Drosophila melanogaster: one gene and its partners. The protein of the gene in region 4 interacts with the protein of the main gene of each other region in a pairwise test. Each region holds a gene or a part of one and is shown on either strand. Other genes may lie near its edges.

Evidence for each region.
Region 1: the proteins of CG8668 (region 4) and CG31523 interact in a two-hybrid assay, tested with the Drosophila melanogaster proteins (one large-scale study listed by BioGRID).
Region 2: the proteins of CG8668 (region 4) and Elovl7 interact in a two-hybrid assay, tested with the Drosophila melanogaster proteins (one large-scale study listed by BioGRID).
Region 3: the proteins of CG8668 (region 4) and CG1648 interact in a two-hybrid assay, tested with the Drosophila melanogaster proteins (one large-scale study listed by BioGRID).

The regions. Positions count from the first base shown.
Region 1 is NT_033777.3:4,474,228-4,482,140, forward strand, and holds the start of CG31523 (uncharacterized protein), read right to left. Parts: upstream 4,981-7,913; 5' UTR 4,835-4,980; exon of another isoform or gene 4,406-4,834; intron 1,200-4,405; exon of another isoform or gene 1,025-1,199; intron 1-1,024. Other genes in the region: sac (sterile affecting ciliogenesis), read left to right, coding at 6,592-7,913.
Region 2 is NT_033777.3:7,991,520-7,999,390, forward strand, and holds the start of Elovl7 (ELOVL fatty acid elongase 7), read right to left. Parts: upstream 4,334-7,871; 5' UTR 3,904-4,333; coding exon 3,901-3,903; intron 1-3,900. UniProt on the Drosophila melanogaster protein: Catalyzes the first and rate-limiting reaction of the four reactions that constitute the long-chain fatty acids elongation cycle.
Region 3 is NT_033778.4:9,809,600-9,816,152, reverse strand, and holds CG1648 (uncharacterized protein), read left to right. Parts: upstream 1-3,378; 5' UTR 3,379-3,404; coding exon 3,405-3,429; intron 3,430-3,488; coding exon 3,489-3,671; intron 3,672-4,184; coding exon 4,185-4,675; 3' UTR 4,676-4,834; downstream 4,835-6,553. Other genes in the region: lectin-46Cb, read right to left, coding at 1-448, 501-638.
Region 4 is NT_033779.5:8,124,306-8,134,903, forward strand, and holds CG8668 (uncharacterized protein), read left to right. Parts: upstream 1-2,695; 5' UTR 2,696-3,341; exon of another isoform or gene 3,342-3,667; intron 3,668-6,981; 5' UTR 6,982-7,120; coding exon 7,121-7,607; intron 7,608-7,667; coding exon 7,668-7,889; intron 7,890-8,289; coding exon 8,290-9,338; 3' UTR 9,339-9,684; downstream 9,685-10,598. Other genes in the region: CG8673 (uncharacterized protein), read left to right, coding at 87-432, 500-1,416; CG12375 (uncharacterized protein), read right to left, coding at 1,498-2,376; PAPLA1 (phosphatidic acid phospholipase A1), read right to left, coding at 10,318-10,468, 10,537-10,598.

The DNA of each region.
Region 1 (7,913 bases), on a different chromosome or scaffold from region 4:
CTGGGGAGGGCAATACTTCCCACAATAATATTTGGAAAGTTGTACTACATTTTTTTTACTACATTTTTGCCTCTCCGAAACAAAACGTATTTTTATGTGCTGAGCAAGCAGTTTCATGTAGAAACTTTAGTCATTCCACTTAGTAAAAATTAAAAATTTCAAAGGAACTAGATAGATAAATATCCTTCACATATAGCATTTCGAAATTCTATTTTTTCAATAGTTTTGGTCAAAAGATTTTTAATCAACAATACATTTTTTATACTTCTTTAAGACACGCATTGACTCGTTGCAAATTTTTCTACTGTAGCGCATATGGTTTCAAAATTGAAGTGTACTGATGCTCTACAAAAGGTATTGTATTTTTTAAAAATAATTAAATATATAAAATATATACAAATAAAATAACTGCTGACGTTCACACGCTGAACATAAAATCTGATTCTTCTGTGAAGATTTTACCAGTCGACATTATTTAATTAAACAAATAATCTTTAGAAAGGGTAAATTTTGTATAATATACTTTCATTGTCAAATGAAAAATCTTTTTTTTTTGACAATTACTTTCTGCGTAACATTCGTTTAGCAATTTTTCGTAGGTTAAGGGTGGACTATATTTGTATTTATATATTTAGAACGTCGAAGGGATTTCTTCGGTATGCCAAAAACTTTTCAAAACTGAATCATCAAGAATTTTGTGAATGTATTTGAAATCGTTTTATATTATCATTTGTCTTGCTTATTTCTATCTGATAGGCGATTAGCTCCCTTATTATTTTTTTCTGTTCTCGTTAAATTTACCAGCTATATATAAAACCTAATCAAAAATATGGGGTTAAAGGGAGAAATGAAGAAAATCGTAACTATAAGTTAGCTGCCTTATAAGCGGTTGGCTGGAGCCAGAAACAGTGCTATCGGCATTAATTAATTGGGGGTTAAAGTCCTTCCATATTGTGATATTGTGCGGAGATAGATTGCGATATCTGTTTCGTTTTGCGAATTTTATAAGTATTTTCTTAGATACCTTAGATACCTGGGTTTTGTTGTTTTGTTTTCTGTTTGTTTTGTATATCGTAATATTGTATTTGCGAAGGTGTTATTATCTTCCGTCCTCGTTGTTAAAAAATAAATATTAATTTATTTAAATGACGAAATTTCGAAAATCGCGGCGATGCTTTTTGAATTGTGTGAGTGCTCGTCTTGAAAATATCGAGTCAGGCCACACAAGACACTTGGGATTCCGATCTCCTCGCAAGCAAATAAAGGCGGCGGCCCTCGATCACTGGCTTGGATCGCCAGAAGCGTGGTCGGATATATTGAAACGAAAGCGCAAGTGAATCGCGCGGACCGCTCCCACCTGACGACCTCAGGTCGGCTGGCCGATTAATGTGTGTGCACTTGTAATTTGTTTGGCTGCTCGGGAAGGTCAGACCCCACGGAAAACCGACCGAGCTGCTGAAACACACGATGAAAGTTTCCATCGCAGGGCCGCACTGCATTAATGGCATTTAAATACATCGATGTGTAATTATGCACATGCATAGTTCCCAAAGCATAGGTTACGGGTGTCAGGAATGGAGGTTTTGTTTATTGTTTTATTGCGACTCTGCCTCGGGCATTCTAAATTGAGGAGAAGCCGCTGAGATCGAGGGGTCGACTTACATAACACTGGCGTGGTAAGTTTTCCAAAAATACGTAAAACCCGACAAAAACAATGAAAGAAAAAACAAAAAACAAAAAACGCACAAAGAAAGGCTGGGGAAAATGAGAGAGAGACAACAGCAAGCGACAGAGAAAAACTGTCCGAATCTTTGGGTAAATGAAATTAATGTGCGAAATGTATACGAGTAGGTCCCGTCAATGTCGAAAAAAGAAACGGGAAAGAAAGCCGGCTTCGACTAGCCGAAGTTTGTGTACCCTTGCAGACGGTCAATGGGTATCTATCGGTAATATTGTAATATTAATGATGTTATTTGCTGGAAAGGTGAGTACATGGTACTTATAGCTTTTTACTTCTTTTTAAATAACATATATAGTTACATTTACCAAAAGATATCAAAGTGCTCTTTTATTTCGAAAATTCGTATGCATTGCATCTCTTCTACAATATTTTGTTTAACCATGCAGGATAAAGGCGATTTACCATTTTGAGGTAAATTCTTAGAGCACCATTACTCGTAAAGTATAGCCTAGTAGATTCGTTGGGAAGTATGTATGTAACACTTCTATCGATATGCCAAAATAATATTAAAGATTCTCGCTTAAACATCTACTAGCTGACTAACAGGCAAGGAACTCGACCATACAGTTCTCATTTGGTATTTAAATATAATTCATAAGATATCATTATTAGGCAAAGGCTGTATAAACTAATAACTGTAAAAATAATACTTTTAAAATTAAATACTGGCTGCATTGCCAGACATCACAGTCGCTAGTCAACTTTTCCCTTTGGAATTATAATCCTTATATTGGCGTATTATGATCATTATATATTTCAAGATATAGGTTATATCGACCGCTATATCAAATCTTTTGTTACTTAAGGGCTCTGGAGCCTAAGTATGCCAAAAGCATTTAATAAACTTTTATCATAGACTTGCCTCCTAACCGAACGATAGCTGGATTCGCATTACCATCATGAATTGGATCTGTCCATCTCACCGCCGATAACGGCACATTTGTCTTTATAGCACCGCAACAGGTGGTGAGGCTAGTTCTCTTGACTCTGACGATGCTGTCACTGTCCATCGAATGATTATGCCCACGATGTGTTAACCCCGAATGGTACGAAGATCGTGGCCAAGCATCTCAGTCTCAGACGAGAGTCTCAGGGGCCAGAGAACCCGTACGATGTCATTGTTCTTTTCTTTCTCCATAGGACAAACCGGTTAAAAAACTTTCCTCATAATAGCAGAGCCCAAAAGTGCTTATTAAGCATGCGCTGCCAAAACACATATTAGCGAGCACCTATGTACATATAAACCAGAGGACTAATACATGCGATCTCTATAACCAAGATCTCATGGACTTTGGCCGAATTTTTATGTTGGCCCGAATAATTTCAGATTGCTTGTGGGTGTGACTGATACAGCCAGCCGATTGTATAGCTCCTCTCTTCTGAGAAAATCGAAGCCCGGCAATGAGACACAATCTTGAGATTTGCCGTGTAAACGCGAATGAATATTTGGATTTGATGTGTTTTCTGAGCAATCTAAGCAGATAATGTGTTTACTGAGTCTAAGCCAGTCGCGCCAGCCAAATAACTATACGCGAGGGCCAAGGTGCAAAGCGATCAATTAGCACTTTAGCACTGCATTGTTGCAATCTATTTGCGAAAGCCCTTGACTCTACGTAGCTCCAGGTTCGCTTTTCTGACCACCGGCCAGCGGTAATTGATGCCGCACCACATTCTCCAGGTGATACATACATATGCATACATACATACATACATACACACATACACACATACATAAATTTCTGATCGAAGTATTTAGCGCACTCGTTGGCTGACCCTAAAAACCTGAAAAAATGCGAATGCAACTACATTTCTCGACGTTTCCGCATTCGGCGGACAGGTGAAACTTTTTGATTGACTGACATAGGCGGCACACCACTGCACTCCTTACCCAACAAAGGTACACAGTAGACAATGAAGACAGCGAAATGCGTTCGGCTATTTAATACTATTTAAAGTCAGTTCTCAGGATAAGGAATTAGCTGCTATACCTAAGCTGCTGCTAAAATACTTCTCATACGGAAGAAGTTGTACCACTAAAAAGAAGAAATATTCTATGTATTCGAAGTAGCATAGAAGTACCTACTGCTAATACCCGCATTCCTCAAATAATGAATTTTTTTATCTCGATTGGGAAACAATGGTCAACAATATAATTTCCATTGTTATCAACAAAATTTACTTAATATAAAATTGTATTGAATAAGTGATTCATGAATTACAGTTGTAGACCGAAAGGGTCAATTGTTTTTTACACTTCATAGAACCAGATTAATCCAATAAACAATATTTAATTCATTAAAGTACGAATAGGTTACCAGAGAATCTATGAAAACAAGTCTGGGCAATCCTTTGGAATAATAATTCATCCCTCTCACGAAGGGCACCCACGCCCCTGTGCGCTCTCTCTTAGCCACCGACACGTGTGAGCTCTTTTGCTCTTTTAGTTGGCTGTTGCTTCACGGCGACTCTCTTCGGCATCGCCTACTGACGCTGCCGCTGCGAATGGGCGTGGCGGGAAGCAGAGCAAGAAACAGTGGACTACCGCCACTTTTTTAATTAAACCATGAACAAACAGGCAATGGCGGTGATGACTAATATCACCGAATCGCAAGGCGAGGGTGGGGAGCAGCTGGAAAATGCTTTCGCGGCTGTGGCGATACTCACCTGCGAGGTATGGTGTGGAAGGGGGGGGGGGGGGTCGAGCGGCGATTGGAATGGAAGAGGAATCCCGAGTGCACACACACAAATGCACTTGTGCACGGCCACAAATACACACTCGCGAAGGAGAACGAACGCAAGTGTAAAGGGCCCGCGCTTTTGGGAATTGAACAATCGACTAGTTTCAGCTTGGGCTGGCTGCCGATGCTTTTGATACTGAAACTTCGATACCGCGGGCTGCGATGCCGATGGCTATGGCGATGGCTACAAACAACAGCAACGCCAACAAAAGACACACACAAACACCGCGTTGGATCTCACCGCACATAAAATATATCCGACAACATATCGTAACGGACTTCACCATGCAGAAAATGCGATCTAGCCCAATAAAACTATATGCGCTTCCAAAAAAATATATTAATATCGAATTACTTCTTAGTCAACTAGCCATATCTTTCGGATTTCTTGGGAAACGACGACGCGAGTGAAATCGTTCAGCAACAAAGAGAGCGCGTTTTGCCAGTCGCTTAAATATATTTTTGTACAAAACGGTCTCGCAACTTCGAACATGTTAGATTGGGTTGGCAGCAACTAAGCAGAATGTTGGCACGAGTGTTGCCGTTTTAGCATTTTTAAAGCTCGACTTAGGTTATTTGAAGCCCGCAAGGACTGTGATAGGGATTACAGATTAAATAATATTGTGCGTAAAATCTTTGTGATTTGATAACCTGCATAGAAGGTACCAAGGAAACAGAAAAATAATATGGATCGTCGCGACTATACCCGTATACCCTCAGCCAAATGAAATGCAAAAGCATAAATTGACTGCGAGGGGAATACTTTTCACAGGCCGTTAATATTCTTTGAACTTGTAGTTAACTTTAAATAAAGGTTTCTGTGGCAGGATTGTAATTTTTGGCATGTTTAATTCTACACTAAATTAACTATTTGATTTATTTGATTTCTTTACCAAATAATTTGAGCTAGACATAATCTAGTTCTGGCTGTTCCGTTTCTAGATAATCTAGATCTGGCTATGGAAAATCTAAAAAGGCTGAACTGAGACGAGGCAAAATGATCTTTGTGGATTCCGTTCCGGAAAGAGTGACCGAATTTCGAGAATTCGGTACTTATCGATATTATCGGAACCCATTATTTAGCATTGTCATCATAAAAACGATATTTAGAGAATGTAGAATGTTAAATGTTTTTTAATATTTCTTGTAATCAAAACAAGATCGAGTTCCCCTACTTTAAAAGTCCTGTTACTCAAGTCGTATACTAAGTGCGAATGAGAAATTCCAACATTCTTTTAGCAGATCGAAGGAAATTTAAAAAACAAAATAAACTATTTAAAAAATTTTTCAAAAGCGTGGGAGTTTTGGGCGGTTTGTTGGTGTTATAAGGGACGAAAAACAGACAAAAGTCAGAGGGTTCCTCGACTTTGCGAGCGAGATGTTGCAAAATGGTATATCTATAGAAATTCGCATTACTGCGAGCGAGATGTTGCAAAATGGTATATCTATAGAAATTCGCATTACAATCAAATTACTTTGTAATTGTGACAGTGAAAGTCTCGTGAAGTCTTGCGTGTTAGCGTCGTAGTTTGGGGCGGCTTGTTGGCCTGTTCAAGAATATTATATTTTATAGAGTCGGAAATGCTTCTTTTTACCTTTATCGAATTTAGTAAAACCTTTTACGGCAAAAAAAATAATTCTCATAAAAGTGCGCTAAATAATAAAAAATGAATAAACAACAACGGAAGCTTGAAATTGAAATTAAAGATTGTTCAAAATTAAAAAAATGTAGTAAAAAATGTATACCAAATTAAACGACCAAATTTTACATTCGATTGTTCATATGGCTATTTCGACTCGGTTGTTCATACTGATCAAGAAAGTATAAAGTGAGCTTTATATGGTCGCAAATGCCTCATTCACTGCGATGCAAACACCTTACTGAAGTCAATGTATCCTTTTGGAAATAAAATAGTTTACATATAATTTAATAAAAATATTAAATATTGCTGAGACCGCCATATTCACATTAATTTTATAAAATCGAATTTTTTGGTTTAATTTGACTAAACAGCAGTAATTAATGCTCGGGCTTTGTAACAATCAACAAATACACTGCTTTGAAAGGAACGCCACTTTCTCATTTAAATCCACTTTAACAATATATTTCATATGGATCCGGAGAACTTAGAGGTGGGACAAAATTATGAAGGTTCCCAGGAATTCGATGAGAGCAGCACCAGCTCAATTAGCAACAAGGGCCCGGATGACAGTCAATTCAAGCGTGAGGCTGAGAAAGCTATTTGCATCATGCCGCCCCGACCGGGAACGACTATGATGAACTATCAGGAGCTATATATTCCGCGGAATCAGCTTACTGATGTATATTACCCCATTCAGGAGGCCCAACGATGGCTCACTCTGATGGACAAGATGGGCAAGGCACACCGTTTTCCGCTGCCCACGATCCTGCCGAAAGTGATCCAGACCCGCTACGTGCCAAAGCGGCATCTTCCAAAGGACGTCGAAGTGGATCGGAGGCGTCGTCAGTACCAGAAGATTAACTTGGTGAATGAGCTGGCCAAGGCGGGCCTCACTGACGACGTGCTGCAGCCCACCGAGGAGCAGTATAATGTAATGTCCGAGTTCGCCTTCCCACACAAGTTTCCCCTGAGCTACTTCGACGACAGCAACTTTGACATCAACTCTCCGGCGGCCTGGTTTGAGCTGGGAGTTGTCGGAGATGCGCACTACCCGCTTCCGGCGAAGGCGTACCTGCCTTACAACCAAAGCCTGCTGAACTGCCAGTGGGGCATGGCAGCTGTTACCGCGCACCACGAGGACTCCGACCTCTGGACGCTTCTATCGCTGGAGGACGGATGCACCTACACGGTACCCAAGCTTCAGTTCATGTTCATGGCTGAGGACCCGCACAAGTACATCAAGCGGCTGCAGGCCGCTGTTCACGAGCGGCACAAGGGGGAGCAGCTTATGTTGATGGAGCTGATCGTGGATTGTGTCCTGCACGAGGACATTGAGTCCACCGTGTTTTATAGCTTTAAGCCCATCGAATCGGTCCTGCAGGCGGCTAAGGTGTCTGAGCAGTGCAAAAGACGACTACGCTCCGAGGTGAACTTGGTGTTCGAGCGCCTAATGGCCCTATACGAGCTGGAGCAGTTTATCCTTAAGATGCCCAAGGAATTTCCCCAGTTTCGGAACATCAACCTCAAGGAATTTCTGCCCCGGTCTTTCGCCGTGGACGTCTCCGGGAAGGAGCGTCTTGAACTGCAGGCCCTTGGCATAACCATGCAGGAGAAGCGGTACGACTACCTGAAGGCCAGTCTGTTTTATTGCGTCGGTGGCATCGAGGCCATGGCCGGAGTGGCCATCGAGTGCCAGTACATCGAAACACTTTCGATCTTCATCTGCAGCTTTAGCAAGCCCCTGGCGCTAGTGGACTTCCTGCAAGCGCAGGAGGCGCATAGCGACAACGT
Region 2 (7,871 bases), on a different chromosome or scaffold from region 4:
TACAGCCCGCTGATCGATTCCCGGCTGTTGTGGGTCAAGTTGAAAATGCAGCGTGCGTTTTTAAACTTTCAAGCGAATACCAGACTGCGCGCGACTTGCACGCGATTGAAATCGCAGGCGATTTCCTAACCGAGTTCGGAAAAAAACGCGCCAGCAACATGTGCACCAAATGCACTTGCCACACCGCAACAATAAGATGTATGCGGGGCCTATATGCATCCGCATTTGTGTGTGTTTCGCCAGAGAAGTCTTGACTCCGGCAACTTTTAAAAGCAGCTAAATCGCGTTAATTTGGCAATCGAGTTGTATGTGGTTCTTGCTGCCCAGCCGCGCGCTTGTCGTTGGCCCCAAATCGCCAGTAATTAGTGCAAGACAATTTTTTTCGAGTGTATGTTGTTGTATTGCTGCTGCTGCTGCTGCTACGGCTGTGCTGCCGCAAGGAAGTGGTGTTGTTGCTCTCGGGGGCGGTTTACTACGCTCACTGAACGCAGCAGCGTTTCAAGTTGCAAGTTGTTGAAATTCACACAAAAAACAATCAAGATAACTCTTTATGAATGCATACATTTTAAATAAAACACAATTTGTTTAATATTTAAAATATTACAATGAATGAAGATCAATCTGGTCAACAGTCAAGTTAACTGATTATGTATCAATATTAATTAACTAATATACATTTTATTTGGGCGTGTTTCGTCATCTGAATGATTTGATTATGCAAATAAAGTATTGAATAGATTTAATTTTCCACATTATTCACTAACTATTTAGGTCAGTCAGAAATATGGTAATATGAAGAAGTTTCAATAGGTTTTGGAAAATTCGAAACCTTTGAGCATTTTTATTTTTTGGTTAATAAGATTATATGATTACCAATTTCTTTCAGTGCAAAGCAGTTTTTGCAGCAACTAAAAACTCAGCCAGTAGTCAAGTGCACAGCTGCAAATACTCAACAGGTTGGCTAAATGTGCGTAAGTGTAAGTGAGTTCCCCAAATACCATTTGAAAGCCTCAATTCGGGGGATATATTTTAGCTGATTCATTCTACATTGCGTTTGTCAGGCCGCCAATGTTGATTTTTTCGTGAACGTTTATGTTAGACGATTGCATTAAAAATGGTTCCATACCATTTGGATTCAGGCATTCAGGCATAATATGCAATTCGAATTGGGAATGTCGAACTTTGGTTTTCGTCCCTGCTGCCATTTCCCAGCCTAAAGTTCTCTGCCCCCAAGCCCGTAAATCACTAGCCACACAATTAAACAAGCAATGACTTTTAGCTCCTCAATCACTTTACATTCGCGTATTTATCAGGTTGTTTCTGTCCACTAATTTAAATTTTGCTTTAGCCCCACAATGTTGATGTTGATTTAATTATTTTGTGTTCGGATTAAATGTGTCGAAAATATATTACTGCAAATGCGTTCGTTGCTTTAAAATGGAATTTATTTGTAATTTATTGTTGTACGACAAGGAAATTATTTAGAAAATATTATTAAACATTTTTAAAATACTTAAAAACAAAATCGAACAACTTTAGCACCTAAGTCCCATCTAAATTCGCACTAATGGAAATATGTTTAATCACGAATTCGGTATGACAGCATGGCCCACTAAATAATTTAATTTATACAAATAAATTCATCCAACCGACCCAGTTTAAAGCGACAAATATGTATAAATTAATTGTTTTTTCGGGAACGAAGAGTTTGTATAAAATTGCAAAAAAAAAAAGGCACTCAAAGAGCTGTAAAATATGCAAGCCAGCGTGTTTGAATAATAATTTAAAAGCTGTTATTTTTAGTGTTTTTAACACCTTTACTGGCATAACTTTTCTGTCTAATCTCCAACGAGCAATAATTGAATTTCAAATGACACTTACTTCAATCACGGGCCGATAAGAGTCCATAAATGTAATCATTTTCAGGTACTCTCCGTTTAATGGTCTCTTTACGTTTATCTACCTCGAATTCCTCTCTTCGCTTGCGTTATCAGTTTTTAAGTGTTAATTTGCTCGGGAATATACACAGCCAGTAAAAAAATTGCTGAGAGACACGCACTTTTTTTATGTAGAACAATAAACCTTTGCCCAAATGGCATATTCGCAATTGAAGTGAACGAAGACTAGCTAGCTACTGAGAAAATCGCGCATACGCCGTGTGGAGCCAAACAAATCGAAATGGAGCAGCGAATGCACTGCGATTTCAGTCACATGCGGCAAGCGTTATCTCACACACACACACACACACACACACACACACACTAAGTACTAAGAGGGCACTCTGCCTATGGTTTTGTGTTTACTATATGCTCTCTACATGATTCTCTTACCAAAAAACAGCTGAGTGCCGAGCGGCAGTCAACAATAAAGCGACGTCAATGCGTCTGAGACTGGCTCTCCAATGTAGCTAACTGGCCCACAGGGAATGCAAGCAAATCGGCTGATTAAGGCACATTTTTTTTTATTATGATCACTTGGCGGGGGCTGCGCAGTTTGGCAGCTGGGTGGCAGTGGCTCTGGCTCCAACAAGCAGCCTCAAACAACCCAGACCCGATAGCCCATAGCCGCCCATAGCCAACTGGCAACTAGTAAAATTCGCCGCCAGCGCCTTTGCACTTTTCAGTGTCAAAAGAGGCAACACAAAAATGCGGCAAAAGTCCCAGTCGAAAATAAAATCGAGGTGTAATAATCATTGTGTAAGAGGCCAAAAGGAGAAGAAAACAACTCGAAGATTTGAATAAGTTTCGATTTCTGGGTTGCCTGCTTATTTTTTTTTTTCTTTTTTTTTTTTTTTTGTGAAATGGTGCAATGCCAGTGATCATTAGCCAGCGGTAGTAGCGGCGGCGATTGGTTAACCCACTGGGGTTTTTTCTCTCGAATTTGCAGAGCTGCTGAATGAATATGAAAATCACTGGATTTCTACACAGCAGCAGCATCTGCAATGATGGGCCGAAAGCATAAGTAAGGTGGACGGGACAAATGAGTCGGCCTGGCCCTGACTGGCTATCATTTCACCTGCGCTCCGATCGCCAGTTATCCCATATCCCCGGCCGAGATTCAAGGTCAGCGATGCACTGCATTTCCGTGTGAAATGTTGTCATGCCAGTGAGCTGGTGAGCTGGTGAGCTGGTGAGCTGGTGAGCTGGTGGGCTAGTGAGCTGGTCAAAGCCAAAAGCCAGCCTTCACTTCACTTGACCGCCAGCCAGTGATGTTGCTGGTGTAAGTGCTGCTGCTGCAACTGCGGACATAACACAGCGACAGCTTCGAAATAAGTGCAGCACTTGCAGTTTCTGTATGCACTTTTGGCGGAGCTCGAAAGCGAATGGCTCTAGCAAAACAGAACAGAGCAAAACGCTCATGTTTTGTGGCAGAAAGCGGGGGAAAAGTGGGCGAAAAGCGTGGAAAGGTCTGCGCGGAGTCGGCAAAAATGCATTTGGGAAAAAACAGTGGAAAACCTTGCTAGCGAATGTGTACTTGAAAACGAAAACCAGTTGCTGGCGTGCGGTTTTTTTCCATTTCCAAAGAAAACGAATAAGAACCAGGAATGGCTGGTGCTCGAGAGGTTTTCTCGATTAATAATTTGCTCAATTAATTTTAACGGCTGCATTGCGGATATTCATTATAGGAGCTTTATTTATTTTTTTTTTTATTATTAATTTCTTGCTTAATAGCAGCAGCAGCACACACGAGTCGTGTGCAAAGGGTCATTTGTGGGTTGTGGGATTTAACGGAAAGCCCAAGTCAACGTACGATCATGTATATTTATTTATTCAGGCTTGCATGTTGGGGGTCGGCATCGAAATTACTGGTTGCAAAGGCATTTTAATAAAGGAGGTTTCAGTGGCATCAATTTTCCGTTGAGTCACACTGGGTGTTCGGTCGGGAACCCCCGCTACTTACCATTGTGCTAAAATTCGCTTCAACAGGTACTAAATGCGCGTTTATATTCCGTTTGTTACAAGGAAGCGTACTGTATTTATTTATTTTTTCTTTTTTTTTTTTTTGACTAATTTACAGAGATTCTCTCGACTTTGGTATACGAATTATCACTTTTTAGCGCACTATCCTTGTTCGTTTCGTTTCGTTTTTTTTTTTCGTTTTTCTTGCTTGTAGGTTTTTAGTTATTGTTTTACACACGCACACACTGTTTGACCATCGTTATACGGTTTTATGGTTTCTACATCACTGTTGCGGGGAACTGCTGCTGATGCTACTGCTGATGCGACCGATCTGCCGCTGCTGCTGCTCCGCTGGACTTTACTGGACAACAACTGGACAGCGACTGGGCGAGCGTGCGCTTTTTACATTCAAATCAAAAACACTGAAATAAGTTTGATTTCACGCTGCCGCTTTACTTTTATACCGCCTCGCAGTCGTAGGAGCGGACTTGGCGCAGACGTCGACGCAGATCGTCGGCGCCGCCGACCGCTCATTTTCGGCGAGCGTGGCGATGGCGCTGGCGTTGAGGTGAGCCGAAGTCGAAAGCTTCGGTCGCTAGCCACAGGTTCTGAGCAACAGGTTGTCGATGTGTGCTCTCGCTCTGACAGCCGAAGCGATCGGGTCGGGCGTCAGGATGCCAGAGCGAGAGCGAGATCGGCCAGCGGCCCTTTGGAATCGAATTCTTGGTATCCACCAGTGGGGGTATCACCCGCCTTTGCACCCACACCCAAGTGCGGCGCTAATTGCCGCCAATCCAAATATCGGAGCGGTACTTTTGCCGCGTCTTGGCAGCGCGCATGATTGCACAGTTCAAAGTTCGGCAAGAATGTCCGTTAATTAACCCCTGCCCAGGCCCGGCCCTTCATATCGGAAAAGTGTGCAAAAATTAACGTAGCCACAAATCAAATCAAATCAAATCAAATCACGGCGAGGGAGAGCGGCGGAAAGGTTGCCAGCAACAAAGCCCAATCTTTGGATACGTATGCGGTAAAAAGCAGAAGAAGATGGGGCTGACCAAACCAGTTTGCCTCTTGGGCTCTTAAATATTTATAATGACCAATACTTGGCTTTCCTCCGTTTGCCTTCGTGATGGCCAATAAATGGCCAAAATGCGCCGTGAACTTCTGAAACATACAAATTCCCGAATGGGAAAAGCGGCTACCGAGACCTGGATGTTGCAGGCAACCTGGCGGATACTTAATATTTCGGAGGACCCGACGCTTACTTGTTATTTGTGCAAGCTTGAAACGTTACGTAGTCGATTTTTGTGAGCTAAGCAATTAGATCGAACTTTGACAGCGGCTTGGTTGACGATTTACTTACCCTCAATTAACGACCCTTCAACTACCTTTATTCTAATTTACCTGCTAAAAATCTCACCATTACCCTGCACTTTTGATGCGTTTTTCGACAAAAAACCCAAGCAATGCAACAAAGCAAACATTTGCATTTTTCGTCTCAAAGTCCGCTGCATGGCCGCCGAGCACAAGATCTTTTTGCGGAATTCTAACCGAATAACACGTAACTGACCATGTAATCTAGCCGCGCCAAATTTACATGTGCAAACAGTCGGCGGGGGAGACGATGAATATGTATAGACATGTCGCCCTAAGCTGATCCCATCTCACAGATCCGAAACACGCGTCTGCCATATTGGGGGAAGTATGAATACGATCGATTCAAGGGCTTTCTAGTGGCTGTATGACTAGAGGAAAAGCTCACGATGAATTGACCATGCTAGATCAGAATGATCCTCCTTATATGGACAGAGATGGCAGGTAATATTTCCGCTTGCTCTGAAATTTTCCATTTGATCATCAGAATTTAGACTGCGACTGTACTCACCAGACATGGATATGTTTTTCCCAGTTAGAATGCACTTCACTAGTCCTTTAACTAATGCCGCGCACGACAATATATTGTAACACAAGTTTTAGGTGCCGGCAAGCCACGCCTAGTTGTAAAATTTATGTGAACAAAAAATCAAAATAAATAAGCACTTTATACCCAGAGATTCAACCTTGAGCATTTGCAGAAAATTTACATACAAATCGAAATGTTAAAGCAATCTGAAAAATATTCATAATCTAATTAAATTCATTAACGAAAGTGCACCAGTTCACCATTTGAGTTCAGTGTGTTAATTTCTCAATGCGATTGCATAATCGCAAAGTTGAAGGAACTTGGCCGCGACTTCCGATCGATTTGATATACTCCGTTTATCCACCTTTGCCGACCATCGATCCAACCGCAATAAACGGGGACCTAATGACCGGAACCATCAGGTTATTCAGAGCTCATTCCCTGGCGGAGTACAATGACTTTTTTCCGAGATGCTTCTCATCGTTAGTCTGGCTTTTGGTTTTTGGCGAGCACATGCGGCGTATACTTAATAGCGCAACCTTCGGCCCAGAAATATCGACTTCAATTCAAGTCTCAATCGGACGAGCCGCGCCAGATGACGATCGTAATGATGCCACGCAGATGAACCACGACCAATTTTGGTGGTGGTGTGGTGGGTGTCGATCGCCGGCCAAAGCCATTGTTTATTGGGCCAAGCTTAGGAGAGTTTTTGTGACTCGGATCCAGCTCTTTGTGGCGCTTGTTTATTTTTGGACTCTCGTTAGTATTATTGGCCTTATCCGCACTTGGCAATAATAAAAAACCAGAGTTCAAGGTTGCAAATCTCGTAAAATCACCCTAGCGATTATATAGCAAGGCAGTAGAATTTACATCGGACTGGTGCTAATGAGCATATTGGTAGAAGGCAACTGGTATTATCATCTGGGAAAAGCTGCAATTGGTTGGACTGCACCTCCCTGCAGTTGTGCAACCGAAGATGATTGATGCGTTGATTTCGCGATGCCGGAGTCTCAAAAGCCCTCGAAACCACAAAAGCAGCCGACACGTTGGATTGCAAAACCTAAACACGGTTCGAAAATTAAAAGGTTAGAATCTACAAAATGGTACCGAAAATACAGTTCCATACGGTTCTATATCCTATTCGTATATTTAACAAATTTCTATGTGAAAAATAACTCCATTCAATCTTTATAAGTTAATGAAATAGACTTATATTCCAAATATACTAGTTTATACTTCAGTGTATGGCGGAATTGTTATTTCTGCTGGTGCTTTTCTGATTATTAAATAACGGTTAAGTCAAGTGGCATTTTTCGATTCTGCAAATCATTCTCGCCCGTACATTATCGTGGAATTTGAGGTCTGAGGCAATGCAATCGAAAGTGTGAAATACCAAAGACAGGCAAGAATAACAAACCAATGCACGAGTCATTCTCCTTTCAACCCGCCCCCAGAGAACCCGTGATTATAACTAAATCCCCTTCAAGATCTCCCAATATCTAATACATACACGTATAAAAAAGATTTAAAACAATAAAGTCTGAACTAACACGGCTTCCCATTCAGAGCCACTCAAATTTGTCGACTGCTTTCCGAGCAAGTTCCGATCACATCGATCAGCGACTAGCTCGATCGCCCAAAATTCCACAAATCCAGAGAAGTCGCAAACTGCTGACGACGATGGCGAGTCTGACGAAGACGACAAGCTGGAGATGGCGATGAAGGTGCAGATGGAGATGGGGTTTAGTACGCATATAAAAACAAGAGAGACATTAGAAATTGCGCAAGGCGTTCGTGTTTGAACATTGATCGGCCATCGTGAAAATATATCAAGGTCAGCTAGTTGACACAGAAACCAAACGAATCAGCTAACTAACATTAATTGATGGATCTGTGCGTTCCAAGTCGGGCAATTCAATAGCCTTCCAGCACGGGGGAATTATCTGCACTCCGGATTTGCATAAGAAGTGGTTGAAAATTTTAAATGAATTCAATTAAGCTATATATTATATGCATTTTATTTATTATTTTTGATTGCCCAAAAACACGTTTTCATTCACATGCTAAGT
Region 3 (6,553 bases), on a different chromosome or scaffold from region 4:
CATCGCCATCGTCCTCTCCTTCGGCACTTCCGCCAATGTCGTGGTGGAAGTGATGCAAGTGCTCGTGACTGTGGTGCTTCGGCTTCTTGCCACTATCCGTGCCCTGGCAGTAGCGTTCCGAGCAGATGAAGTATTGCCGCTCGTGGCAGTTGTCTGCCGACACCATGTTGATCTCGGAGCGGATCCTCACCTCCAGGCAGTCGTCGCACTCGGAGTGCTCCAGTGGCAGGACGTTGCTATAGTTGCTGTAGTAGCGCACCAACCGACCGTTGCTGATGTACTGGAAGCGACCCTCGTGGTACAGATCGTTGCCCCCGAACCAGAAATCCTCCGTGTTGCCCAGGCCACTCAGGAACCCAATGGCTCCGTCGAAGTCCCTTTGGTTACTCAAGTCCGCCAGGGTCAGTCCTTTGCGTAGGCAGTTGTTCAGGGCGCCAAACCAGTTCATCTGAATGGGTTTCATATTATTTCATAAGCCCATGCGACAGATCAACTCTTACCTTTTTCACCGAAAAGTAGTAGCACTTGCCGTTGATCCTGCGCAAATAGCGACGCGGGCAGGGGGGTCCTGATCCCAGGAGCTCGCCCCGCGGCAGGATGCTCAGCAGGGCCACGAGTGCAGTCAGGAGATGCTTCATTTCGCTCGCTTCCGCCGGTGCACAGTGAGCCGGCTCAAATCGCCTCCTGTACTTATATCCTCCGCTGGCCAGCAGTGCGCCCAATCGATTTGGAGCTCGCTGGAGCTGGAGCGGCATCTTCGGCAGCATGGCCAATTCAATTACAAGTCCATGCCGCCGGAATGCCTACGCCAATGTCGTGGGCTAATTTGCTCACCCGCCAGTGGGTCAGGTTTAGGGTCATTCAGTTTAATTGGCTATTAGATACACTCGAAGAAAACGAGCCGGAAAAGTCGCATGGGGTGCTGTAATTGCCAGTAATGTTAACCCTCTAAATTCCTTGATGGCAATTCATCCGCCTAATAATGGGCATATTGCGAGTAACTATTATATCATATATAGATGTTATAAAATTGTAATACAAGTTTAATGCAAATAAATTAAAAGATTATATATATGGTTTTGAAATAAGCAATAATTCTTAGCAGTATTCTAACTCATTCGAAGGTAGCAGAGCTTTCTTCTTCTGGAGTATGATGATGATAGATGGATATAAAATGCTTCAGTTCCTTTGACCCTGATCTGTCCTCCCATTTAGTTTGTATCTGCCGAAGTGAGTTAATTGCTGGCTATGAACTCGCTGGTAATCTTCAACAGCTCAAAAACGCTAAGAATATTAAGTTCTGTGATTCGAGCAACTGGAGTGACTTCATAGTCATTAGCATAACCCGCCCGAAGGGCTAGATGTCTGACCCGGCCTTGTTCTTTCCGATTATTGATTTACCTGGCAGGGTCGTGACATCAGCCATTGGATTGTCCGTGGCCAGGACACGAATCGCCCGCCTTTCCTTCTGTTGCCAGCTGACTCAGACGACCTTCGGTCGGATGACGATTGCGCCGGGTGGCCACAACAATTCGTGGGGCGTGTGAGTACCACGCCACCCCTTTCTGCCACGCGCGCTACTCTCACATATATAATTCTTTCGTATATTGTATCTCGATTGTGCAGTTGTATCTCACATGACATCATCAGCAATGGCAACAACAACGGCGGCCCCAGTAGCTCCATCGATTCATCACGGATTGTAGCTCTTTTTTTTAAGGCATCCAGAACTGGTGTGGAACGTGAGTCGGCAGACCTCAAATCGCAGTAACTCATAGATATTCGTTCCATGCCCGTATGTGTGTCCGTTCCGAGCTGGGTTCCCATGTAGCCCAAGCTACAGCTACAGCTACAGGTTTTCCTCTATCCGAGGCTTCTGCGCATTATTTCAGCTGCGAGTGCGACATCGACGAAAACAAAATCAGAGAGCAAAATCAAAATCCAAAACTAAAACCAAACCAAAACCAAAACAAAAACGACGCCAGAGGCTGTGAGAGAATCTGGGCTTATTGTGTTACCTTTTGGCCATGCTTCTAGCCGGTTTTCAGTGTTGACCACAAGTTGCCACAGTTTTGAATAAAGACTGAAGAACAAAATGCGTCGTATTACGCAAATGCCTTAAATAGGGCCGCTGGCCTTAGGAATTCCGCGTGTGTAAGCCATTAAGATATATATGTACATATATCCAAAGGATTTGGCGGGGAATATTAAACACTGCGGTTGCCTTATACGTAAGGCCACCTTTTTTAAGTTTAATAACTTATCATTCTACGAATGTATTTTAAGTATCTTTAAATACGATTTTAATTTGGAAAACAGCACAATATACTTAGCATGCATCTCTATACATATAGTTACATATTGTACAGTGTAGATTGCACGATTCCTTCCACTTAAATTGCTATTCTAGATTCTAGATTGTTAAGCAAGTCCAATGCCACATACATACATTCCTTAGCCATTAGCCATTAGCATTTGAAATGTCTGAATTCCCTTTGATTCACCCTGTTTTTTTTGAGCAGTAAAAGTAATTTTCAACACCTCGGCCGAGCCCACACATTCCATAATCTCGATACCCAGCAAGCGTAGAATAGAAACTATTATTTTCGCACAATTTTCGGCTCCTGCGGTGGCGATTGGCTCATTAAATGCGAAATGCGAAATGCGAAATTGGCCGAAACTAAATTATTTGGAAATGAGCCGAGTGTATGGGGCCATTAAAGTATCTCTGCGGAGAGAACCGAATCAGAATAAACACATTCCCGATCACAATCAGAAAGCGTGAATAGACCGCACTAGAAACTTGGGGGCGATTTCATTCGCCGGCTGCCCATTATGACATCACATACGCCGAATAATTTGAATACTCGAGCTTTGTTTGCCTCATTCGCATACAAGCATACTGTATATTACAAAGAAATTCCTCGGCTATTTCCGCCCGTTTCCGTTTCGCCCAACCGATTCGCACCCGGTTCCGAGTTGAGCGGCACAATGTTTCTATTTGAGTGGACGCACACGTCACTCCCAGTGAATGCAGATTCGAGGGGACAGCAAAAGCTGGCGCTCGTTAATTTCTATTAAATTGCGAATATAAGTCTCAAGTCTCGAATTTTAAGGCTGACGCCATGGGGCTGGCGATCACGATTTCAACAGCCCCTAGTTGCGCAGTTTCTATTAATAGGAAAGTGTCCCAGTCTAATCGATCCGATTTAGTCATGTAAATAGTTCATGCTCCAGCTGCTTTGTTTATGTTTCGGCAATTACCTGTCTGGAATTTGGAATCTGAAATCTCAAATCTCGCATCTTCGATCTGATCGGCGCTCCACCCTGCTGATTGCAATCAGGCTATAAATTATAATTAGCGCCAGGCCAGAGCTTAGTTAGCATTCAGAGGGCCAGTCAGCATGTTTCCTAGTCGCCAAAACCAAAGTAATCCCATCCAGCCAGCACAGTCAGGATCTAAAATGCACTCCTCATTCAATCCCCAGCTTCCTTGAAGAACTTCGGTGACAAGACCGCCAACCTCTTCAGCAAGAAGAAGGATGAGGCCGAGAAGCTGGCCAACGAGAAGGCTGCCGAGGCCCAGAAGCTAGCCGAGGAGCAGGCCAAGAAGGTGGGCCAGTCCGTACAGCAGACCAAGGGCGAGGCCGAGCAGTTGGCCGCCAGCACGGGTGAGTAACGAACATCCAAAAAATAATGAATGTAACACATAAAAGATGTCTTAGAGAATTAATTGGAGTTATTAATTCTAAAGACTTCCAAAAACTCTTGCAACGAAGAATTGAATGAGTCCCGTTTGAGATAACTTTCAAAATCAACTTTCAGTTCTTGCTAAAAATGTTTTCTCATTAGCATTCCATTTCCAATTTATCTAAAACGCAAATCTTTTAAGCATATCAAACACAAGAGAACTTAATAAATGGAATTCTTTAGTGACGCGTTGACGTAAAACATGTTTCCAAGAATAAGATTCGCATTTTTGAAAACATTTCTTCATAAATATTGAAATATTTCTATAATTGTGAAAAGCAATTTAATGTGCTAGAGATTTATAACTAAACAGAACATCAATGCTATGTTTTATGCTGGAGCAAAGCCCGACCAATTCAATAAATATCTTTAGGAGCACTTTTAAAGATATTTTGTAAGAATTTTTCCCACTAATATCTCTCTTTATCATACAGCCAAGGAAGCCGCTGCTCTGGCCACCGCGGAGGCTCAGAAGGCTGGACAGGCGATTGACCAGGGTGTGAACCGTGCCGCCGGAGCCGTCAACCAAGGCAAGCAGGCGGTGGACAACACGGTGGCCCAGGCGGCGGCCGTGGCCCAGAACTCCAAGCAGGTGGCGGCCAATGTGGCGGAGGCCTCCCAGCGAGCGGCCGCCAATGCGGTGGACCAGACCAAGAAGGCGGCCAACGACGCCATCAACAAGAGCGTGAAGGCCGCCGAGAACGTGGCGGACCAGAAGCTGAAGCAGGCGGAGGGCGCCATCGATGGGGCACTGAAGCAGACCAGTCAAACGGTGGACCAGAAGCTGCAGGAGGCCAACCAGTATGTCGACCAGAAGCGCCAGTCCGTCGAGAAGACCGTCCAGGATGCGGCCGGACAGGCCCAGGAGTCTGCCGGACAGCAGGCCAACGCCCTGTTGGGCAAGCTGCATCTGGGTCAGAAGTAGAGGCGTCTCCCTTCGCGGTGCCACCTAAAATATCTTGATGTGAAAATGCTTTAGATACAAAAACAAAAAAAATAGAAAGGAATTTGCTTCAATGTAACGAGTGCCAGTAATGTGATTGCTAAATCCTCAATTGAATATACACAATATATATATATATATATATTTACATATTTTTTGAATATCGCGCGGACGGATTATTTTGCAGCCGCTGCTTTCGATGTGAGCATTTCAGCACATCCTCTGTCCGTATCCGTACAAAGTGTAATTAACCCCTTCGTTCTTCTTCTTCGGCCGAATTTTGTTACTTTGAGGCATTTGATATTTTATATACAGCTGCGCTGAGTATGCTTTTAATATACGTATATTCTGTTTATGTAGAGATGTATGATTAAGTACCTTTAACTCTTGCACAACACATTGCAAATGTGTTTTTAATATATTGGATTCGAATGAGATTTGTGGTCTTTCAATTGGTGGGGGTGCCACTAAGCAAAGCGTATTATATGTATATATTTGGATATACTGATGTTATGTTGATTATATTATTACTGAAACTTTTATTAACTCATTTTCAATTTAGCGCCAAATGGTGATGTATGGTAATACTGTAATCTGGCCACACTGAATTTACTTCGGCTGCAAGCGCAAATAGCGCCACCTACATGTGGGATAGAACGCTGAATGGTTTGAAAACAGGGTATCCATGTTTTATCTCGCTTTTACCGTTTCATTCAAAAAAATTAAATTACTTTTTAATGAAGTTTTCAAACTACAAGTTTACTTGATGTATTTATTTGGGCTTACTATTTAATTACTGACTTATCTTGGCCATTGGTTGTTCAGAAAATAATATTATTTCTGGACATATTTTGAGCATATAATTACAGCTATATACAATTTCTTTAATAAAACCAATAAATCAGTTATAAATTCTACACATTCCACTGTTCACCCAAAAGTGGTAACATTTTATTTTGCTTCTAAGACAAAAGAAGTTTTTTCCGGCTTACCCTTTCCCCTTCCTCCAGAGCTGCCTGTCTCATTACAGAACCTTTTCACAGATCCAAGGTGAGCAGCAGGGGAAACTTTCGCAGAAAAGCGGACCATGGAGATGGACGGATCTATACAAATAGACCGAAACATGCAGAAATCTGCTAATAGAAGAGGTCATATTGTGTACTCCGATATGTCGGGCAACTTTTCGTCGAACAGAAGCCGAAAGTTGTGTTAGGTTTTAATTATGGGAAAAGTTTGTTGTGGCTAACAAGTGACCCCGGTGCATTGCAACGTCAATTGAACGCACAACTTCAAAGGACCAAAGGACGAAAGGACCAAAGGACGAAAGGACGCTAGGAATGTGTGCAAAGTATTGGCAGCAAAGTGCTGACATAAATTCAGGTAAGAGCGATTTTTAATTTCAGATAAGTGCGCCTGCTGACTGGAAAGGCGAATGATAAATGCATTCCATTTGCGATTCAAGTACTAGTGGGTGCGAGGCGCCAAATTCAAATTTATGCCGGCCACGCAAAAGTCGCGCCAATTAGGTTAGCCCAAGCGAGTTGATTTAAAGTTAAGCGATACGAGCGGCGCGATTAATTACAATAACTGTTTATCAACACATATTAATCATGGTTTAACATGCTCCCAGCTCGTGTTGACCCAAGCAAAATGGCGTGCAGCGGAGTTCCGGTCATGTTGGGTATGCCCACTCCATACCCTCCATGGGCTTCCTTTAATTTTCAAAGTTTAGAGGGCGACATAAAGTGAATATATTTGGTGAGCGTAATATCGTTTTTAATATATTATGACCTTATTTGTTGGTATTGCCATGCGTTTTTGAAACACTCACGTCTCTCCCAGCAGCTTGATGCCCTTTTG
Region 4 (10,598 bases):
TTTATAAACATGACTTTTGGGTGCTTGGTTCAAATCCACCTTGTAGAGCGGTCACATTCCCGGAAAACTAGAACTAACTTATAGCCATGGCTGGCCGACTGCTGCGCTGCATCCTGATACTAATCCTTGTCAGCTTTACTGTCTTCACGTACGTTTCCAAAGTAGGGGTAATGGAAAAAGTCGACTATTTTACGACAGCGAAACCTGATGTAATGTCAAAAAATCCTGCAATACAGTTAGTGGGCGAAGCGATACGGCTAAGATCCTTTAGGGAGCCTATTAAAGATTTCGACGATGGATTCGCCGTTCAAATTTCAGGAAACAGCAGTGAAGGCAACAAGGATATCTATACAACTATTGATGGCAATATAAATGTTGCAGATTCTATTGCGGCAATTAGAAGCAGAAGAATTGATGAGGAAAAGCTCCATGGTGAGAACTATTTAATTATTCATTAGTCGACTCATATTGATGTTGTTACTTTGCTTTTCTTCAACAGATGACGGGCTAGACTCAAAAGATATTTTAGCAAAGAAATCAGTGGTATTGTATTCAATAGATACCGAAGTTCCTGTCCGAATGCCGCTTGTGAAAACTATCTACAAACCTGGTCACCTGGACAGTGAGATTGATATGGAAAGAATATGTCCGCAAAAAGGGTTATCGACGCAGTTGTTAGTTTTAATAACCTCATCCCTTCGGCATTCGGCAGCCAGAATGTCCATACGGCAGACTTGGATGCACTACGGCAGCAGAAGGGACGTGGGCATGGCATTTGTCCTGGGAAAAGGCAAAAACAAATCGGTGAAGAAGGCCATTGATCAGGAGGATTTTATGTACCAGGATCTGATAAGAGGACACTTCATAGACTCGTACAACAATCTCACTCTGAAGACCATTTCTCTGCTGGAATGGGCTGATCTTCACTGTCCGAAGGCTAAGTACGTTCTCAAGACGGACGATGACATGTTCATCAACGTGCCGAAGTTATTGACCCTCATTAGCACGCTTAAAGCCAATAGAACGATCTACGGACGACGGGCCGAAAATTGGAAACCCATTCGAAACAGGTGGTCTAAATATCACATATCCAACGCTCAGTATGGAAAGCCTACCTTTCCCTACTTCACCACCGGACCCGCCTACTTGCTCACTGGTGACATTGTTCACGCTCTGTATGTCCAATCCCTGAATACTGCATTCTTAAAGCTGGAAGATGTCTTCACCACGGGCATTGTGGCTGAAAGTCTGAACATCCGGCGGGTAAATGTGCGCGAGATGGCTAACACCCGGACGAAATTCGAGACGTGCCACATCCGCGACAAAATTACCATCCATATGGTAAGGAATAACGAGCAGTTTACCTTGTGGAATATGTTATTAGACGACACCATAAAGTGTGATAACCAGGTATAAAGAAAATGAAAATTATTTAACAATTTTTTACAAACAAATAGTTATATACGCTCAACAAAATAAAAAAGGAAAATCAAGAATTTAGAGCGCACTGGTTGGCTGGTACACATAGAACTCTTCATCCGCAGACTTGCTGACCCGCAGCTTTCCCTCCTTCTCCAGCTTGCTTAGGTGGTGGTTCACGTTATAGGCGGCGGCGGGCCAGAGGTTTTCTGGTGTCTCCTTGTAGACCACCTTCACGACGTCCATAGCCTGCAAGTTTTCGTTGGGCCGCTGAACGAAGAACTGCAGGATTTGCTGTTCTCGCTGGTTGCGATGGTTAATGTAGTACTCAATCTTGCCAATTGGTTCCTCAATGACATTGCCATGGCCTGGAAAGATACGCTGCGGCTTGATGTCTAGTATCTTCTCCAGGCTTTTCATGTACTCAAATAGGTCCTCGAAGACGGCGGTGCCCTCGCCAAGGATGCAATCGCCGCTGAAGAGTGTGCCCTCGTTCATGGCCAGCACCACATGATCAGTGGTGTGACCGGGTGTGTGAACCACCCGCACATTCGCCCCCTCCGTGGTGAACTCTTGGTTGTGTGCTAGCGGATGGAGTTTGATATCCGTCGGTATCTCGGGGCACACATCTGGAGCATCTGTACGCCCAAACTTGAATACGCGGCAATCCTTTTCGGCCAATTTAGTACCCACAATGCTCTTTACACCGCCGACATGGTCGTGGTGCCAGTGGGTCAGCAGGATGGTGTCGATGGAGGCCTTTTCCTGCTGTAGCACATCTCCCAGGTGAGCGATGTACTGCGGCACGTCTTCGTCACCAGTGTCGATCAAGATTCTCCTACTGCCACTGCCGAGGAGGTACGTATTGGTGCCCTGGAGCGTCATGGCACTGGGATTACAACCCAGTATCCGAATTACGGAGGAGGTGAGTCTGGTAACAGCCGGAATCAGCGCCATCTCTTCGTTCACTAAATCTGAGAAAGCGATAAGTATTCCGATTACTATGCACAATGAAGTTTGCGTTATAGTTACATAAATTAAGGAGGGAAATGAAACACTTAAGGAAAATAATATTAGGGTCCAATTTTTTCGGGGTTTTAATGAACTTTGGTCCTATCAAGAAAGGCGCTATTATATTGCTGCAAATTAAACAGCTGTTGGTCTACAGTGCTGTTAACCGTCATAGGGTGACCATAACATATGCATTTTAGCACAGTTATCGACTTATCGAAAGTAAAAACATAAATTTTTAACTTATCGATGTTGCTTTACATCACTAATGTTGAGCTAATCGCGAACAAAATCGGTTTGGTTTTCGGAAGTGGGAGTAATGGTGTTCCCACAAAAAAAGAGGAAAAAATTAGAATATTTGCGTCCGCTGTAACGCAGCCAATTGTGCAAAGCCCTAAAAGTGTTAAAAAGCCGCGTTTCATCAGCAGGCTGCAATCGAAAAACCTCCAAAAAAATCGAGGGCAACGCGAAATTAAATCAAAAACTGCTTCGCAGCAACAACAACAAATCGCTTCGTTTGCCAAGGTGTTAATGCTTATTTATTTATAAAACATGCCCCGCATGACTAATGAAACGGGCTGGCGTTATTAAAATCGATTAATGCCGAAATACGCGCAAAACTATAACCAGAAAGAAAAAATTCCCCAAGCCACACGATTTCCGTGGTGGCGCCTGGGGCCCAGCAACAGCAACAACAACACAAATTAGGATAACAGAAGAGTAACCACAACAACAACAACGATAGCAATTCATCATCGCTAATTGTCAACAAAAGGCATATTTATTAACGTTAAATAAGCACTAAAAATAAGCAGGCAAGCAAGTAATTATGCTTGACCCTGGTCCAACAATAGCACCATCTCAGATTCCAGCGAACGAGGAAGGGAGACGCAGCTAAACCGCACTGGGAGGTAAGTTTATAATGAGTGAGTCTGACTGCCCGGAGATTCCAAGATTTCGGATGGACAACGAGACTCGGCGACGCAACGATGACGATGCGTCGTTGCCTAGGGTTTTTGTTTTGTTGTTTTTTTTTTTCTGTTATTTTATTAACACACATTTACGTCTGCTTAAGCAACCGACGAGCGCACATTTCCAAACTCCACGGCCGGACATTGCACCACCAGTTAGCCCAAGTCAAGTGGAGGTTTCATTAACGCCACCTAACCTCCACGTCGATGTGGCGTTCCTCGTATCACTGGCTTGGACTGCAATAATGCTCGATTTCTGAACAAATGTACGCAAGAAATCAAATTATTACCCTCTCATTAGCGTTAATTTCTCGAAGTTCTACAATATTCTGTAGAGTACCAGAAATGCGTTCCCACAACTTTCTTATCAACGAATAGAATACCAAGGCAAGATTTAGAATTTGTAGGCTAAGACGTTTCCGCTTTCTCGTTAGTTCCTTAGTAAGTTTAGCTTCTTGAGAGCACAACAAAAATGAGTTTGAAGAGTCATTTTTATTTCCCTACTTCAATTTGCATTTAAAATGATTTGCGGGAAAGTTAAATGTCAAATGATCTTTGCTTCTACTTGTTTCAATGCAACGCACATCTATGTGATTAAGCTTTTTGTGAACTCGGTGTTTTAAAAACAAATGAAACGGCGCTGTTAACTGCCAACTGGTAGGAATACAGATTTTAGTTGAAATTTATAGGTACTTCGTTGCAATTTCTTTTGAAGACTTTCATTAGCACGATCCGGAGTCCAGCTGAATCTTCCTGGTCGAAACTGTGATTGATAGTGGGCCGTTGGAGATGAAGATAGTTTCAAGACGCCCGAAAACCCGTTTGCCGTCCAACCGGCGATTATCTGCGGTTCATTGTACTTATTAGCAGAGTCGGAGTGGGGCCACGAAAAAAAAAAAAATATAACCGACCGCCAGCCGGATTGGAAGCTTGGATCCACTTCCGTTCACCACTCCCCTCGCGAAGCCTCCAACTTTTTCCGCTGAATCCGAGTTACACTTCATCAAATTACGCGCTCTCGTCAAATTTCACGGCTCTTTGGTAATTTTGCACACAATTACAAGGCACTAAAAGCAACTGCTAAAACATGTGGAACAATTACAGTCAAAGTTCTTTAAATTGAACAATTATATGCCTAGTGAGTTATGGGAACTGGTTAGAAATCCATGGAGAACATTAAATTTATTACTGTTTATAGATTTAATTATGAAGAGAAACCAAAGTTTGGGCTGATAAAAAGTTTATTTTTTTTATATGACTTGCTAGAATAGAACCTTTAGTTCATAGCATATTCAACATGTATGTTTAATGTTTATATCCCGCAAGGGAAATGAAAGTCTGATAAGAAACGGGTCGCGATTATTACAGAAATTCAAAGTAAAATGCACATATACTAAACGATTTATAAACTGTAATTAACCAATGCATAGAGAGTGATTCATCGTCTCATCGCACAAGATAAGTCACACTTTCACTCTTGATGGAAAAACAAAGGGTTATCTCTTATCAATGCGCTGCACGTCACGCTGCGGATCTAAATGGAAATAGAATTTCGCTGTACTATGTGTGCGTCCGTCCGTTCAGCTTCACGATAAGCCATAAAAACACGATACGACATTGTCGGATTTAGCCCCCCAAAAAAAATTCCATTGTGCTCGTACTCGTGGCTATTCTTTCCGGTTCCCGGCAGACAGTTGACCAAACCAGACCACATCGATGAAGTTGATCAGCCCATTTGACTGATAAAATATTTCGCGAAGCTATTTTAATTAAATGTCACTGTGTGGATATCAGTATAGCATTATCGCAATAAAGAAATAATAAATGTTGTGGAACAGTAAATTTGTAGTGATTATAATTAATTGATAAGCTAAAATTCTTAGAAGTTAGCCATTGTCTTATCAGCTTGCGTTTAACTTGCCTGACCAAGTGACCAATAATGAAAATGCTTGTGTTGCATTTAATAAAAGATATAAATTGCATCTTTTTAAAGGTTCTCATTCTATCGAAAGAAAAAGAAGCAGACACAACTTTTAATTCGATTGGGTTTTACCTTGTCGAATTGCGACTTAAGGTGTTCCTTCACCTCTGCAAAGCAGATAAGATAAGTTTCAAAAACTTGTTAAATGGTTTCAAAACGATTTTTAATCATAGGTAAAAGGTAGCAAGTAAGATAAGTGATGTTTTGGCAAAAATGTTTCAATCGTCATTTCCTGACAGTTATTTGATATCTAGGCACGTGTAAACAAATAAAGAAACTATGATAAAATCCGCATTAAACTCAAATCAAGCTCAAAAACATATTTTTGGCTTTAAGAAAATAATTAATTAGCCAACAAACATTCTGTGCAAATAAATAAACATCTTTAGTATGAGGTATTTGAGTAAGATATATGACTTACCATTCTCCGCTAGACAACCAGATAAGATTTGTGTTATAAGATTGATACGAACTGGCTTATCGACAAACAATTAAGGTAGCACAGTTACCCAGAGTGACGCACTTGGGGATTTTCATTGACTATTCAAGACGGTTCGGGGCCAAATCGAAAGTTGGTAAAAGAGTTACGAGGTTCTGAGTCCTGCTGTTTTATTGATTTTTATATCGAGCTGTCGCAAACTACTACCATTATTTTTATGGCGTCCTAGAGAAATGCCCAATAAATCTATAGATATACATATAAAGACTACTGGAATTCTGAGAAAGCCCTGAAATACCCAGATGGGATCGAACGATAAGAAATCTTATCGACCAGGCGGCCATGGAACGCGACTCAAGTGGTTCGTTCGCTGCCACCTGGAGCATGGAGCATGAGTCTGTCCGGTGCTTTGAGCTCTGTTCTGCCTCCGTTGGGGTTCTCTTGAGTCGCGGAATAGGGTCAAGACTGTTGTTGACTTGTTCGAGCGCATGCAAAGTGGAGACAGAGCCGATGGCGATGTCGTGACGATTCTGGATGCTGTGCGTGTGTTCTCCTTTTTCTGGCAAATTCATTAGCCCACGGAAACTTCCCAAATGCTTTTCAGTTCGTCACTCCCATTACCATGCAAAACAGCCAAGCCCTTCGCTCGTGTTTTCCGAAATAAAATAGCACATTCACACAGTTCAAAACTAAGCATCGACTTTACTATATTTTTGAAAAATATTGTGCAAAAAAAAAAATGAAACAAAACGTTAATTACGTTTAAGTGTTCTTTTGTAAACGTTTCTTAAAGTACATAAGACGCTATCTTTATTTTTGTAGTGAACTCCAACTAGCTCACTCTCTACACAAATATTTGCATTATTCCTCGCCAATGGTAAGAAAAGCAACAAAACTGAGTCTTTGGCCATACTCGACTTTGAAATACCATTCTATATTGGATAAGAAAATATTTACGATTTAATTATACACTTAAATGTTTTGAACGAATTTTTATTGCCATTATTATTGTCGTTTTATTATTGCGGAAATAATGATCTAATCGCTGGACAGAAGTGCGCCCTCTCTCCTTCTATATCTTATAGCGCCGGGCATCGGAGCACATAACAAATCAGCTGAATCAGTTATTTACCTTTATTTCCGTTGCGTTCTCATTGCAGTTCCATCGCATTCGTTGTCGGAATCGCAAGCGTGAGGGATCGTTATCATAATACTCACAAATTGAAGACGAGAAGCGGAGTCCAGACTGAAACTGAGACCTAGACTGACTGAGATTTGAGAGATTTTGCAAGTGCCACCATGGCGGCTATGGCCAATCTTCACAACACGCGCATGCTACGCTTCTTTTTAGTCCTAATCGTGGTGATCCTAACCATTTTCATCTACGCCTCGTACTCAACGACTAGCACCCTCACAGCGAACCATGTGCACCCTGCGGCATCACCGCCACAGCAGCTGATTGGCAGTCATCCTGGGCGACAGCCCATGGACCAAGTGCCGCCAGTCAATAGCACGGATAAGGAGTACAATTCGCCACCTGGTGAAAGTTCGTCTAAGCAGCAAAGCGTATCCAGCAGACACTCGCAACAATTACCGCCGCAACAGGCAGAGATACACAAGAGGCATCCGCAGCACCGCCTGCCCACCATCGACGAGGATGCTCTGCTCGACGGTGGCTCCGCGGGCGCCAGTCCCCAGGTTGGTGGCCCTGACCAAACGCCCAATGTTATGGCGGATGAGCTGCTGGAGGAGCAGCAGTATGGTCAGAGTGTTGATGGCATCACAGGTGAGAGTGGGTGCGCTTAAGACTTAGACGCTAATTAAGCTAATAATGTTTATTCCACAGGCAACATCAACAGTAGCACCAACAACAACAGCTCTGCCGACACGTTGGCTGTTAAACAATCGATTCCCGCCCAGTCACCACAACAACAACTGCCCCAGTCACAGTCGCAGGTGCAGCCAGGCCTTTCCGATGCCGACCTCCTCATACCCACTTCCAATTTGCAAAAGTTTATTGAGAACGCCGATAGGATACTGAAGAACATCACTTCGAACAGTAGCACGGGTAATTATTATACTATTACTTAGGGGGCGCTAGACCTTTGAGACCTATTAATCCAGGTTTCAAATTGTTAAACCAGATCGATAAACAGTTTAGTTGCTCCTTCAAATTGATCCTCTTTCTGTTTCATCTTGCGTAATAATTTGCCTTAGTTTTGTTTTGCTTAGACAAAGACCCGCTGGCGGCGCACCCATTTGTATAACTCCACGACAATGGAGAATGAAATGTGCAGTCCGCTTATTTGACCAGGTTTCGTGTTTCATTATGAAAGAGCTGTAAACATGACATATTGTTTCATACTATTGGATTACTGTCGAACAGATGTCTATGGGGACGGACTAGAATTCGCTTGAGTGTTTGTTTGCATTTCAATTAATGGTGTGGTTTATCTTTCTAAATAAAGGCAATCCATCGGATATGGCACAACTCAACGCAGTGGACGGTAAACTGGAAGTCTCGGGCGTTGAGTCCGAAAAGCAGGAACCGGAATCCAAGGTGATACAGGAAATTAAGGAGGCCAAGAAAGAGGCGGCAGTCCCTCTGCCAAAATCCGCAAAACCACCAGTGCCACCTGTGAAAACGACGAAGAGCAAGGTGCCAAGTGCTCCTGTAGATCCCTCCAAGGGAGTGGCCACCGAGACACTCTACGAGCCAGGCCACGTGGATGAGGAGATCGATGCGGAGCGCATATGTCCGAAAGGCGGAGAGTTTATTAAGCTCCTGGTTCTTATTAGCTCAGCGATGTCTCACGATGCAGCCCGCATGTCCATCCGGCAGACTTGGATGCATTACGGGACGAGAAGGGACGTGGGCATGGCATTTGTCCTAGGACGTGGCACCAATGAAACCATAAACAAAGCGCTTACCCAGGAGAACTTCATCTATGGAGATCTGATACGGGGAAACTTCATAGACTCGTACAACAACCTCACGCTCAAGACAATATCGACGCTGGAATGGGCAGATGTGCATTGCCCGAAGGCAAAGTACATTCTCAAGACGGACGACGACATGTTCATCAATGTGCCCAAGCTGCTGACCTTCCTGGACAAGCACAAGGACAAGCGTACCATATACGGTCGTTTGGCCAAGAAGTGGAAACCGATTCGCAATAAGAAATCCAAATACTATGTGTCCGTCGATCAGTTCGCGGCGGGAGTATTCCCGTCCTTCACCACTGGACCCGCCTACGTACTCACCGGAGACATTGTGCACGAACTCTACGTGCGATCTCTGAAGACCGTTTATCTGAAGCTGGAGGACGTGTTCACCACGGGCATAGTAGCCAAGAGCCTTAATGTTAAGCGGGTGCAGGCGAACGAGTTCGTTAACCGACGCATCTCATTTAACCCGTGCAACATCCGCAACGCAATCAGCGTGCACATGATCAAGTCGAACGAACAATTCGATTTGTGGAAAAAGCTGCTGGATCAGACCACCAAGTGTAAATAGTATTTTAAGTTTAGGGTGTAGTTTTTCCGGTATGAAGAACACAGTGTGGTCTTTCGAGAAAAAAGGGGCGAACATATATGTAATATGGTAGGAGTAGAGAATGATTAGCAAAGGCAGCTATATAGGATTATAAAATTAGACTAGTCTCTAAGTCCTAGAAATATCACAAATTCTGTTGTCGATCTCTGCATCCGCCTATATGCATGCGATCCAACAACGATTCGAGTACATTTTAAAACATCTGTAGTTTAATTTTAGCATTCTGAATGCCATTATTTAAATGATAATTACTGAGCGATAACTGTGGTTATATATTAACACTAAATACATTAATGTATATTGAAAGAATCACATAGTGCCTTTTCATTTCGAAGCGCTTCCCAAATAATACCTCTTTCTGGAAGTCTAATGGTTTTGGATATTTGAAGCCTTCGGTATTATTCAAAAAATAAATAATTCTTTTTCATCGTTCCATATTGTTGATTTCTGAATGTTGGTATTTTTCCAGGCCTTAGACCGCAACAAAAAATACCGCAACGGAGCAGTTATCGACTATTCGATAAGCTGAAACAGTAATTCGATTTATGAAAACCCGCCAAACTTGAAAACAATGGTAGTTATTTATTTTAAAATTTGTTAGACATACACTTCGTTTAACATAAATGTTACAAAGTTAGTTGTTACACAGGCGATATTACAAAAATAACAAATAGGTCTCATGGGTGCCAATCCGATCAATACATAGGTAATTTTGTAAAGCTCAAGAACTTGCTACGGTTTTGTCACTCAAACGATAAAGACTTCTTATTTTGATAATACCTTTTACCATGTTGGAGTTGCACATATGGAAAATTCTTTGCATGATTCGGCTAACAAATAACATATCTAAATAAATTGGTACTAAATTTATATATAGTTATGGTGTATACGGTACGTGGGATCGTTGGATCCAACAGAGCTCTCGTGTGGTTTTGTGGACTCACATCGGCAACAGCGAGTGGCTAACACTGCTCTCATGCGAAACGGGTCGCTCGATGGTCATTGAGGACTGCGGCACCTGGCTGTCTGTGCTGATTCCCAGGCTGGCATAAATCTCCTTCATCACGAAAAGGATCGTATCTTCGGAGCCCCTGCGTTTGAGAAGTCATAATTGGTAAGTAAATCTATATTTAAGGAGTAACTCAAGGTGATAACTTACCAGTAGCACACATGGCTGCTCAGGGCGAAAATATATTCGTTGATGAATTCTAGTGGAGCTTC